Linked DNA regions of Arabidopsis thaliana. The protein of the gene in region 1 purifies or fractionates together with the protein of each later gene. This does not show direct contact. Each region holds a gene or a part of one and is shown on either strand. Other genes may lie near its edges. The genes, in order: AT3G58510 and HON5.

Region 1 (6,158 bases):
AAGCATGGATGGATGAGTTTCAAAAACTTCCCTACATATCTCCTTACGATGACCCGAGTAACATTGATCCGGAAAGCGATCTCATGGAGAAACGAGCTGTGGCTGTTTTGCACGAGCTCTTGAGCTTGACTATCCACAAGAAAACCAAGAGGAACTACTTGAGAAGCATGAGAGCGGAGCTCAACATTCCGCACAAGTTCACTCGTCTATTCACGCGATACCCCGGCATTTTCTACCTCTCATTGAAGTGTAAGACAACAACTGTGATCCTCAAAGAAGGGTATCGCCGAGGAAAACTAGTGGATCCGCATCCTCTCACTCGTCTTCGAGATAAGTTTTATCATGTGATGAGAACAGGGTTTCTTTATCGGGCGAGAGGGCTAGGCATGGTCTCTAAAGAGGAACTTTTGCTTGATAGGCCAGAGGATGACCTTGAGGAAGAAGGCTCTGAAGAAGAAGAGATTGTGGAAGGAAGTGAGCTTGAAGAAGATTCTGAAGCTGAATAGCAATAGTTGTTGAATCTAATTGTTGTATGTTAATTCACACAGAGCAACAATTTATGTACCTGCATTTTATCTTTTTGAAGTAACGGAACGGAGTTTAAACAATGTAAGCACAAAGTCCTTAAAATGATATAAAGAGAGATTGTATTTCACCAAGAAAGATTGTCAACAACAAAGGGAAACAAAAAGACAAATTGGATTTCAAACTAACAAATGAAATTGTTAGAAGAAACCAAGAACAAGATCAAAATCGGAAAAACTACTGTCTATCTTTTAGGACAAATCCTAAAAATAGCCTGAAAAAACAGAGAGATCCACCTAATAGCAAGATTAGTTAAATCCATCTCTTGAATGAGAGATCTCAAAGGTGGGGGCAAATACACGTGCTCTCTTGGGAATGTAGAAGAGAAGAAATAAATAGTCAGGTTAAAAAGAGGAAAAATTGGGGAGCCTAATTGGCTAATCCCAAGCACTGGTCACTCCAGCACCATACCCACCGCTTGGAGCACCACCGTATCCACCACCACCATAGCCTCCTCCGCCATAGTAATCACTGCCGCCTCCTCCGCCGCCGCCGCCTCCTCCTCTACTGTAAGAGCCTTCCCTTCTGAAGTCACGGCCACCAAACCGACCACCAGACCGTTTCTTACCACCACCAAATGAAGCACGTGAAGCATATCGTGTGAGCCACTCGGGGACCTCTTGATTGGCTTCTTGCATTAGCTCAGCAAGCGACCTAGCCAGTTGTGCATTGTTCTCGTTGAAGAAGGCAGTTGCTATTCCAGATTTGCCTGCACGTCCTGTTCGTCCGATACGGTGGACATAGTCATCAATGTCATTTGGTAGATCGAAGTTTACAACATGAGCCACGTGGGGAATGTCAAGACCACGTGCTGCCACGTCTGTTGCAACCAAAATAGGTGTCCTCCCAGTTTTGAAGGACCTCAGTGCCACTTCTCTTTCCTTTGAATTCATAACAACATAAAGAAGTCAATCAGATTGAGTCAACAGAGAACAACTTACTGATGATGATCTTTAAAGAGTTCATTTCAGTAATATCATCGAGGTTGTTTCTATAGTTTGGTTTTAGCTTTAGTGTGCACAATTATCCAAATTTCAACTTAACTCAATCAACGAACCTGTTGTGTTCTATCGCCATGAATGGAGGTTGCTGGAAACTCATTCATGCACAGCCAATTTTCCAAAGTATCAGCTCCCCTCTTTGTCTCCACAAAAACTAATGTCAATGATTGCTGTGTATAAAAAGTGAAGAAAGGCAGAATTAGTCAGAGCTTCAGTGATAATAAATCTTGGATAAGTGAACAGATGGTAAATAATGCATTACCTTGTCTTGGGTCTCTCTTTGCGCGTGAAGCAGGTCCATGAGATGGCTTCTCTTGTCAGACTCTTGGACAAACTCAACCCTTTGGGTAATTAAATCAGTGCTTGAACCAACTCTTCCCACAGCCAAAAATATATAGTTTGACATGAAATCAGCTGCAAGTCTCTGCACAGGAAACAAATACGGTAATATTAAAAGAAACGTTAAGAACCAATCATTCTTGTGCGTGCTGAATATTATGCAGCTGTTCTCACATAAGAAATATAACACTCTAAAGACTAAATCATCAAAGATTCACCTCATGATCTGGGAAGGAACAGAGTTACAGACATAAATCCAAGAACACTGTTATCCTGTTCTTTGTTACCATGCTACTTCACTAGAATAGAATTTAAGAGCAAGAAAAAGGTGTTTCATGGACAAGTAAACCAACCTGAATCTGACTTGGAAATGTAGCACTGAACAGCATTGTCTGTCTCACCCCACGTGGAGGCATGTCCATCTGCTCAACAATCTTTCTAATCTGTGGCTCAAAACCCATGTCCAGCATCCTGTCTGCCTCATCTAGAGCTAAAAACCTAATCATCTGCATTGAGACTCTAGCTCTTTCAAGCAAATCATTTAACCGGCCAGGAGTTGCCACAAGGATATCACATCCCCTCTCGAGTTCCCTGAGCTGAATAAACAATAAAATATGTGGTCAACAAATCGATGCTTGAAAACTGTTTGACTAACTAACACCTGTAACAAGGATTAAAAATTCCAATGCTTCTGCATGTTATGTAAAGATGATACAAGCGATACGACAATGTTAACTAGCATATGAAAAAATTTGTAATACAAGATTTGATTTTCGCCAACATTATGCATTGCTGACTTCAAAATCAGAACATATGTTGACAAAGGAGACTGGCATTGGGAAGGAAAGAGCTAGCAGAACTCAAATCAGTAAGCGAAAGCTGCTACTCACATAAAACAAAAAACAGTGCTAGAATCATGTAGCAAAATCCAAACTCCAATGACAAGCTAAAAACCAATAAACAAAAAAGTGTATGATAATTACCTGCTGGTGAATGGGTGTTCCTCCATAAGCAACAACAACCTTCACACCAGTTTGGTAGGAGAATTTTTTGGCTTCATCATGTATCTGCAAGAAAATCACAGAATGAGAAATGTGTATATTATATACACGTACATTTTTTCTTTCTGAAGAAACTCTATTCTTGTTGGTGTGTATATTACCTGGCATGCCAATTCCCTTGTTGGTGAGAGGATGACTGCAAAAGGGTAAACCGCCCGTGAACCACGGGGTCTTTCTACATGCTGATCTTTCATGATTCCACTAATTATTGGAAAGCAAAAAGCAGCAGTCTTCCCAGACCCAGTCTGGGCACAGGCCATCAAATCTCTCTCTGCAAGCAGTATTGGAATAGCATGACGCTGTACCGGTGTTGGCCTCACATACTTGCACCTCCGGATGTTCAGATTTAATGCATCCCCAAGATCTATGTCAGCAAATGTGTTAACAGGAGGGGGCACGTCTCCCCCACTGGTCTCAACTGGAATATCTTCATAGGCATCAAAATTAATGCCAGTATTCTCCTGCTCTGTAAAGACCGGTTCTAACTCAGCATCATCTCCAAATGGGTTTACTTCACGTTCCCTACGGTCCCACCCTCCACTTCTGTTGTTCCAGCCACCACCACCACCACCTCCTCCTCCAGCACCATAACCATAGCCAGTGCGCCCTCCATCATTCCTATAGCCACCGCCGCTGGCACCACCACCCCCACTGCTAGGAGGAGCCCAACGAGACCCAGCTGGTTGACCACCATACCCTGCATGATCATTTTGTGGCAAAGGAGCAGCAACAGGCTCTGATGGCCTGTTCCGTAGGTGTGGGGGAACATAAGGAGGCTTTGACTGAGAAACGGCCTTCTCTGAATCAGCCACATCTGCCCATGATGCACTCATGATTGAAATTTGTAACGTCCTAAATCTAGAAAAAGTTGCAACTTCCCAGCAGAAAACTTATCAATAAACAATAACTTTATCTTCTTATCCACGAAAAATAGAGAACCTGGCAAATACCAAATAGGTCAATAGTTAGCACAAACGCAATCATAGAAATCACAATAGCAGCTGTGTAATGTAAAAATCGAACTCCATAAGCAGGAAACCCCCAAAATCCGAAATCAAATCTACCAAGACGAAGAGAAACAAAGAGAACCCAGCCAGGGAACGCCAAGCGAAGCAAGCAAATTAGAATCGTATCACGCAAACAGAAGAAGAAAGGAGTATCACCTCAAACGAAATAAACCAATTAAGGAACCCTAGCTAGTTGATACAGCTCGAAATCGAGAGATAAACGTAGGCGGAAACAAAAAACGAGAGGATATAGAGAAAGAACCTCAAAAATCGGTGAGAGAGAATCGAATCGGTATCCAAAAAAACGAAGAAAATCAACGGTAGTCGTTCACCCAACGGAAAAGCAAGCTCGGGGGAGAGAAAAACCCTAAATTCGATGTTTACCTTCTGGATCGGACACAACGCGATAAAATAGACATGTTATTAATCTTCAAAATGACCTTAAGCCAAAAATATGGTATGATAATGAGATTAGCTTGTTTTATATTTTAAGAATTGATTTAAAATCTAATTATATACACTCATAAGAGTTTGAGAAAAACATATATACAATAATTATTGGGGAAACAAATTTACACTTAAATCTTTAGAACTTTAAAATTGTTTATTCTGAATTTAATTGTATCTAACTTAAAAACGATTCAACTTATATGTAAAAAAAAGTTCAAACCATATTTATTTCCAAAAATAGAGTAATCTAAATCTTTCATGAACCTATATTTTGAATATTATTTTTATGTTCGGACTCTCATGAATTGTCAATAATTAGAGATTTCTTCTTTTTTTTTTGGTTAAATTTATTTTTCATGAAGGAGCAAATCAATTTGTATTTTACATTCATCGTTCATAAATTTTAGTATGCATCATTAGAGAGAATAAAAATATATATGTCACATAAATTTTGGTCAAAATTTTATGTTGTAACCATTCAAATTTTAATTAAAATGATGTTTTGGCTAAATCAAAATTACATTTCATTAGCTATGAATAAATAGTTGATAATGTATTTTCCCATAGCTAGACCCTTATGTAAACACATTTTACTTAGATTATAGTTTTTTGAGAAAAAACTAAAATGTTTGTTAAAAATGAAAAATTCTTCAAAACAATAGTTGTATTGTATGTTTATATAGTTTTTGTGTGTTTAATTAAAAGAAATAAAACTACTTTACAAATTTTGTGTGTATTACCTATTTAAACACTTTTATAAGAAAACTAAAGGGTGTTTTAGTCAATTTATCATTTAGATCTCAACGAGGAGGATATAATGGTCAAATCAAGACACAGCTCGAAAGCTACAAACCCACTCGCCCCTTTACCTCACGCGCCCCTTTGTTTTGATTTCCTCTCTCACTCTGCACACGAAGGCGAGAGAGAGAGAGAAAGAAAAAAGCGAAGAATACGCAGAATCCATCCAATTTAGGGTTAGGGCTGCCCCTAATCTGGAAACCTTTGCCTCGTTTCTGATCTGTTTTCCGGATCCGACTTGAAGGAAAGAAGACGACGACGCACTACCAAAAACATGGGCGCGAATTCGCTTCCAACGGATGCAACCCTCGATCTAGATGAGCAGATCTCGCAGCTCATGCAGTGCAAGCCTCTCTCCGAGCAACAGGTGCCTGTGATTGTGTTAGAATATAGCTTTCCTCGCACCTTTTCGTTTTCTTCGTTTAAAATTGGATCTGTAATTTAGTTTTTCGAGTGAACTTTGGGCCATTTCGGTGATTAGATCTCAGATTTTGTTTCAAATCAAGGGTGGATTATTTCTGTGAGTATATGATGATCTGATTCTTCGAGAAGGATCTTCTAGTATAGGTGTAGAGCTCATTTCACGTCAGTTTTACGGGTTGATAGAAATGGATTTCATTTTTTTTTGTTTCTTAATGATTTCTGGCTGTATTGGATTCTGAATAGGCGATTAGCTCGCATTTCAATATGCTTTGTATTGTGGATTTGTCTCACCCACAGCCAAAATTGTATCCTTTTGATTAGGTGATTGGCTAGTTAAAATCTCATCAGTTAGATGCATTACTGGATTTTCCAATTGGGGGAATGTATCTTAAATGATAATAGATTTAGCTGAAGTTGAGAGAGAGGTTGCAATTCGATAAAAGTTCTTCTAAGCTAATATCGAGGGAAAAACTGATCAGTAGCTGTAAAAAAGT
Region 2 (5,377 bases), on another chromosome or scaffold:
GTTCACCAAGTAGTGTCTTGCTTATATTCATTGTTTAGAGGTTTCTCAACTTGCTATCAATGATACATTCGGCCCAAATTTTTGTGTTGTGGTGGACCTGGTTGCATTTGTTGACTTTAGTCAGCTTGGGCATTTATCCATTTGTGGACATCATTGTTACATTGTAGACCTATGAGATTGATAATATTTATGGTTAAACATTATTATATCGTTTTTCAATTTCCAGATGCGCCAAACCATCCCAAAAGGTAGAAGTCGGATATATGTAACAGAATGATTTGGAGTTATTGAGATTTGGACTTAAGATCATTCGTTAGGCTGAATAGAGCAGTCCATAGAATCCCTGAACATCTCCAATTAGCGTAATCTCAAGTGAAGAATAGAGACTTGGCCCTTTAGATGTCATGCTTATTCTGCACAAACTCAAATAATTCGTTTGTTTTCTTCCAAATTGCTCTAGTAAACTCAAATATTTGTTTCCTCCTCCAATTTTTGTTATCTCTAGGATTCTATGAATATGCGTTTTATTCAAATATTATTAAGAATGTCTCATAGTTAACCTTTTGAGTTGAACACTTATAATAATTGGCACACACATATATATATATATATATATATATATACTGTAACCAGTAGTTTTTGTTTTGCAACTTTGCAAAAACACAAATAATCATCGGCGAATAAGAAATGATTAACCGTAGGAACAGACTGAGCGATGCGTATGCTCTCGATGCCACCATTTGTTTCAACTTTGATGATCAGTTGACTTAAAATCTCTGCACATAGAATAAAAATATATGAAGACAAATCATCGCTTTTGTCGAATTCTCCATGAAAGCTTCCAATTTTCATAGGAAGTGCCATTTACGAGGACATAGTATGAGATGGTGTTAATGTTCATCATAATCCAAATAAATGTTAAAACATTAAGAATATGAAAAAATGATTTGTTATAAATGTAGATAATGAAATTATAAATCTTATTCTAGAAAAATTTTAAATATAAAAAATGAAAACTTTTTTGAAAACTTTCAAAATTAGATAAGAAAATTGTTTATATATAATTTATTATGGTACATGAATAGAGAATTAGAATAACAAAACAAAAAGTTGAAAGAAACACAAAATGAAAAGGCTATACAAGAGAATTTAAATCAGCCATGACGAGAGAGTAACCCAATTAGACTATGGTGATTTAAATCTAAACTTTTTATTTTAGAAAGTTTATATTAAAGAATATAAATTTGAATGTTTGTGGTGTGAAAAAATTCAACTTACCTTTATTGGTTATGTATATATGGATTGAAAAATGAATAAGGAGTTCAAATATATTTTCTGAGCTTAATTTTTTTAAATCATATTAGTGTCATTTTGCGTAGTTTAACAAAGAATCTCGATGAAAATTTAGCGTTGTAAATTTATTTCGTTAAGCAACTTAACGAAGTGTCTTATTTCAAAAAGTCAATAAAATTAGCTATTAAAAATTTAAAACAAAAAGTGAATTAAAATTTGAGTTTTATTTTACCTAAAACAGTATTAACGTGTTTATAATAGCACTTTTTAACTGTTGGAGATTTTCTTTTTCTTTTTTTTGAATTAGAGTGAGATAGTGATCAAGAAAATGAAGAAGGTGTTAGTGCACATCATATAATCCAAGTAAATGTTAAAACATAAAGAATATGAAAAACTGATTGGTTAGAAATATACATTTTTTTTTGTAAACCGATATTAAGTAGAGAATTTAGTATAAAAAATCTTGTTCTAGAAATTTATTAGTATAAAGAAATGAAAGCATGTTTAAAAACTTTCAGAATTAGAAAAAAAATGTTTACATATAGTTTAATATGGTACTTGAATAGAGAAGCAGAAAAACATATAAAAAAAATTGAAAGAAACACAAAACTCAATTTTAATAACAAAAGCAAAAAACGCCACGTCATCGATCCGTGTCGTAAATCAGCACCAAAATACACTTTCAACGGTCAGATTTTAACTATCTCATCTGTCGTCATTTTCGATCTCTCTCTTACACTACTACACACACTCTCTCTCCTCCAACCTAACTATTTTTTATTTTTTATCTTCTCCTTCCACAAAACTTTTTTAATTTTATCTGAAAAATTAAAACAACCGAAACAAAAAAAAAAAACTAAAAATCAAAAATCTCATCACCTTCCTTGCTCTGTATTTTTTCTCTCTCACTAAATCCTCCATGGATCCTTCTCTCTCTGCAACCAATGATCCTCATCATCCTCCTCCTCCTCAGTTCACATCTTTCCCTCCTTTCACCAACACCAACCCCTTCGCCTCTCCAAACCACCCCTTCTTCACCGGACCCACCGCCGTCGCGCCGCCAAACAACATCCATCTCTATCAAGCAGCTCCTCCGCAGCAGCCACAAACATCTCCAGTTCCTCCTCATCCATCTATTTCCCACCCTCCTTACTCTGACGTAAGCTCTTCTTAGCTCATTCTTACATTTTGACTTTAAAGTTAGGGTTTTTAATTTCCACTCACTTTTTTTTTTCGTTGATTAGATGATTTGCACGGCGATTGCAGCGTTAAACGAACCAGATGGGTCAAGCAAGCAAGCTATTTCGAGGTACATAGAGAGAATTTACACTGGGATTCCTACTGCTCATGGAGCTTTGTTGACACACCATCTCAAGACTTTGAAGACCAGTGGGATTCTTGTCATGGTTAAGAAATCTTACAAGCTTGCTTCTACTCCTCCTCCTCCTCCTCCTACTAGTGTAGCTCCTAGTCTTGAACCTCCCAGATCTGATTTCATAGTCAACGAGAACCAACCTTTACCTGATCCGGTTTTGGCTTCTTCTACTCCTCAGACTATTAAACGTGGTCGTGGTCGACCTCCAAAAGCTAAACCAGATGTTGTTCAACCTCAACCTCTGACTAATGGAAAACTCACCTGGGAACAGAGTGAATTACCTGTCTCTCGACCAGAGGAGATACAGATACAGCCGCCACAGTTACCGTTACAGCCACAGCAGCCGGTTAAGAGACCGCCGGGTCGTCCTAGAAAAGATGGAACTTCGCCGACGGTGAAGCCAGCTGCTTCTGTTTCCGGTGGTGTGGAGACTGTGAAACGAAGAGGTAGACCTCCGAGTGGAAGAGCTGCTGGGAGGGAGAGAAAGCCTATAGTAGTCTCAGCTCCAGCTTCAGTGTTCCCGTATGTTGCTAATGGTGGTGTTAGACGCCGAGGGAGACCAAAGAGAGTTGACGCTGGTGGTGCTTCCTCTGTTGCTCCACCACCACCACCACCAACTAACGTAGAGAGTGGAGGAGAGGAGGTTGCAGTCAAGAAACGAGGAAGAGGACGGCCTCCTAAGATTGGAGGTGTTATCAGGAAGCCTATGAAGCCGATGAGAAGCTTTGCTCGTACTGGAAAACCCGTAGGAAGACCCAGAAAGGTAAAATATCATTCCTTTTTGTCTCTGCGATTACACAGTGATTATAGAGAACTTGAATATTTCTAGTCAAATAGATAAGAGAATAAAAGTTGGAACTTTTGTCTTGTGAATAAATGTCACTTTCCATTCTCAACATTGTCTCTTTCGAGCGTGTGTGTGGAGACTAGAGAGTATCTAACTAAATAAATTCTAGAGTTTAATTTATATTCGTGTCTCTGCTTTTGGCCTATACTTAATCTGGTTTTGTGGTGTACTATTAATCTAAGATATCTCTTTGTTTGGTAATCAAGAGCAACTTGGTAGGTGGCTCGCTTTAGCAACCAATAATTGTTCAGTTGAAGTGTGAGAATTACATATGAACTTATCTTTTGAGACAGACATCTTATCAAGTTTTGTCTGTTTTAAGCAGAAATTTAGTTAATTCAGTCAAAGTTCAAGAGTTTGTGTATTTCCAAGTCCACTAGAATTTCTTTGTCTATTATATTGATGAGTTAGTTATCTAATTACATTTATATTATTGCCATTTATAAACATAGAATGCGGTGTCAGTGGGAGCTTCTGGACGACAAGATGGTGACTATGGAGAACTGAAGAAGAAGTTTGAGTTGTTTGTAAGTAATCTAATGAACAGAAACACAATATGGTCCGTCCTTGGTTTTGATACTTAATTGCTTATGCTTGGTTTTGATATCTCATTTATGCAGCAAGCGAGAGCTAAGGATATTGTAATTGTGTTGAAATCCGAGATAGGAGGAAGTGGAAATCAAGCAGTGGTTCAAGCCATACAGGACCTGGAAGGGATAGCAGAGACAACAAACGAGCCAAAGCACATGGAAGAAGTGCAGCTGCCAGACGAGGAACACCTTGAAACCGAACCAGAAGCAGAGGGTCAAGGACAGACAGAAGCAGAGGCAATGCAAGAAGCTCTGTTCTAAAGATAAAGCCTTGACATAAAAAGCTAGCAAGTGGTGGGTTTACTTGTTGTGTGTTACATGAAATTTTTAATCTTATAAGGGTGTTTGCAGGAGAAAAACAAAAAGAACAATGTGATGAACTGATGATGATGATTGTGTCTCTAACCAAACAACAAGGAGAGGTAGGGTAATGTCTGTAAAGTGAATTAGGATGTTACCATTGTTCATGCTTCCCATCTCTCTCCATCGTCCATATCTGTGTAGGCAGCTTTGTTCTTTGTTCCCTCGTGTTTTTTTTAGACTGTTGTGTCTCTTATTCTATTTTGTCTCCTTAGGCTTTTTAGGAGTTGTTGTTGATGTTTATCAAAAACGCTTATGTAATTTTTATGACCACTTCTACTTTTTATGATGGTTTCTTCAAGTCTCTTACGTTATGTAGTTAGAAAACCATTAAATAAAAGTTGCTTATGTCAGTTGCTCTGTTTTAATTTGAAATCCGGTTTTAATTTTAAGTGTACTTATTGCAGAAATTAGGTAGAAGGTATAGAACGGTTTTACTCTTCACTCACACACCATTTAACCAAATTTCTAAATTTATTACTCGATAAACACTTTTTTAACAAGTTTTCAATACTTTTCTCCAAAAAAATTTTGAATTTGAAATAAAGTAGTGTATTTTTCGATTTTGGTTTTATAAATCAACTTTTTTTTTTGAAAAAGTTAAAAAGAAATCACCACCACATTTGCATGTTATACTATAATACCAAAAAATTAATATTCGTGATTTATTTTAAAAATCTGTGAATTAAAAAGAAAAATGAAATGTTGATAAATAAAAATAAAAACAAGGAGTAAAGGTGGACCCATATCGGTTGACGCAACTGATTCTGAACCTCTCGGTCGTTCGTTTCTACTCTTTCCAAGCTCTAGCCCATGGTGGTGACCTTCTTCTTCTAACCGCGAAAACCATCTCTATCTCTCTTATCTTTCTTCTCCGCCAAGTTTCTCTTTGTAATTTCTTTCTTCTTCCTC

The links.
Region 2: the proteins of AT3G58510 (region 1) and HON5 fractionate together in Arabidopsis thaliana (co-fractionation; one large-scale study listed by BioGRID). This does not show direct contact.

Annotation. Positions count from the first base shown.
Region 1 is NC_003074.8:21,638,269-21,644,426, reverse strand, and holds AT3G58510 (DEA(D/H)-box RNA helicase family protein), read right to left. Parts: upstream 4,450-6,158; 5' UTR 4,378-4,449; exon of another isoform or gene 4,150-4,377; intron 3,926-4,149; 5' UTR 3,820-3,925; coding exon 3,088-3,819; intron 2,993-3,087; coding exon 2,909-2,992; intron 2,522-2,908; coding exon 2,279-2,521; intron 2,011-2,278; coding exon 1,849-2,010; intron 1,757-1,848; coding exon 1,643-1,756; intron 1,467-1,642; coding exon 963-1,466; 3' UTR 632-962; downstream 1-631. Other genes in the region: AT3G58520 (Ubiquitin carboxyl-terminal hydrolase family protein), read left to right, coding at 1-506; PP2A-4 (protein phosphatase 2A-4), read left to right, coding at 5,516-5,608.
Region 2 is NC_003070.9:17,973,137-17,978,513, reverse strand, and holds HON5 (high mobility group A5), read left to right. Parts: upstream 1-1,850; 5' UTR 1,851-2,212; coding exon 2,213-2,452; intron 2,453-2,537; coding exon 2,538-3,431; intron 3,432-3,967; coding exon 3,968-4,042; intron 4,043-4,135; coding exon 4,136-4,366; 3' UTR 4,367-4,872; downstream 4,873-5,377.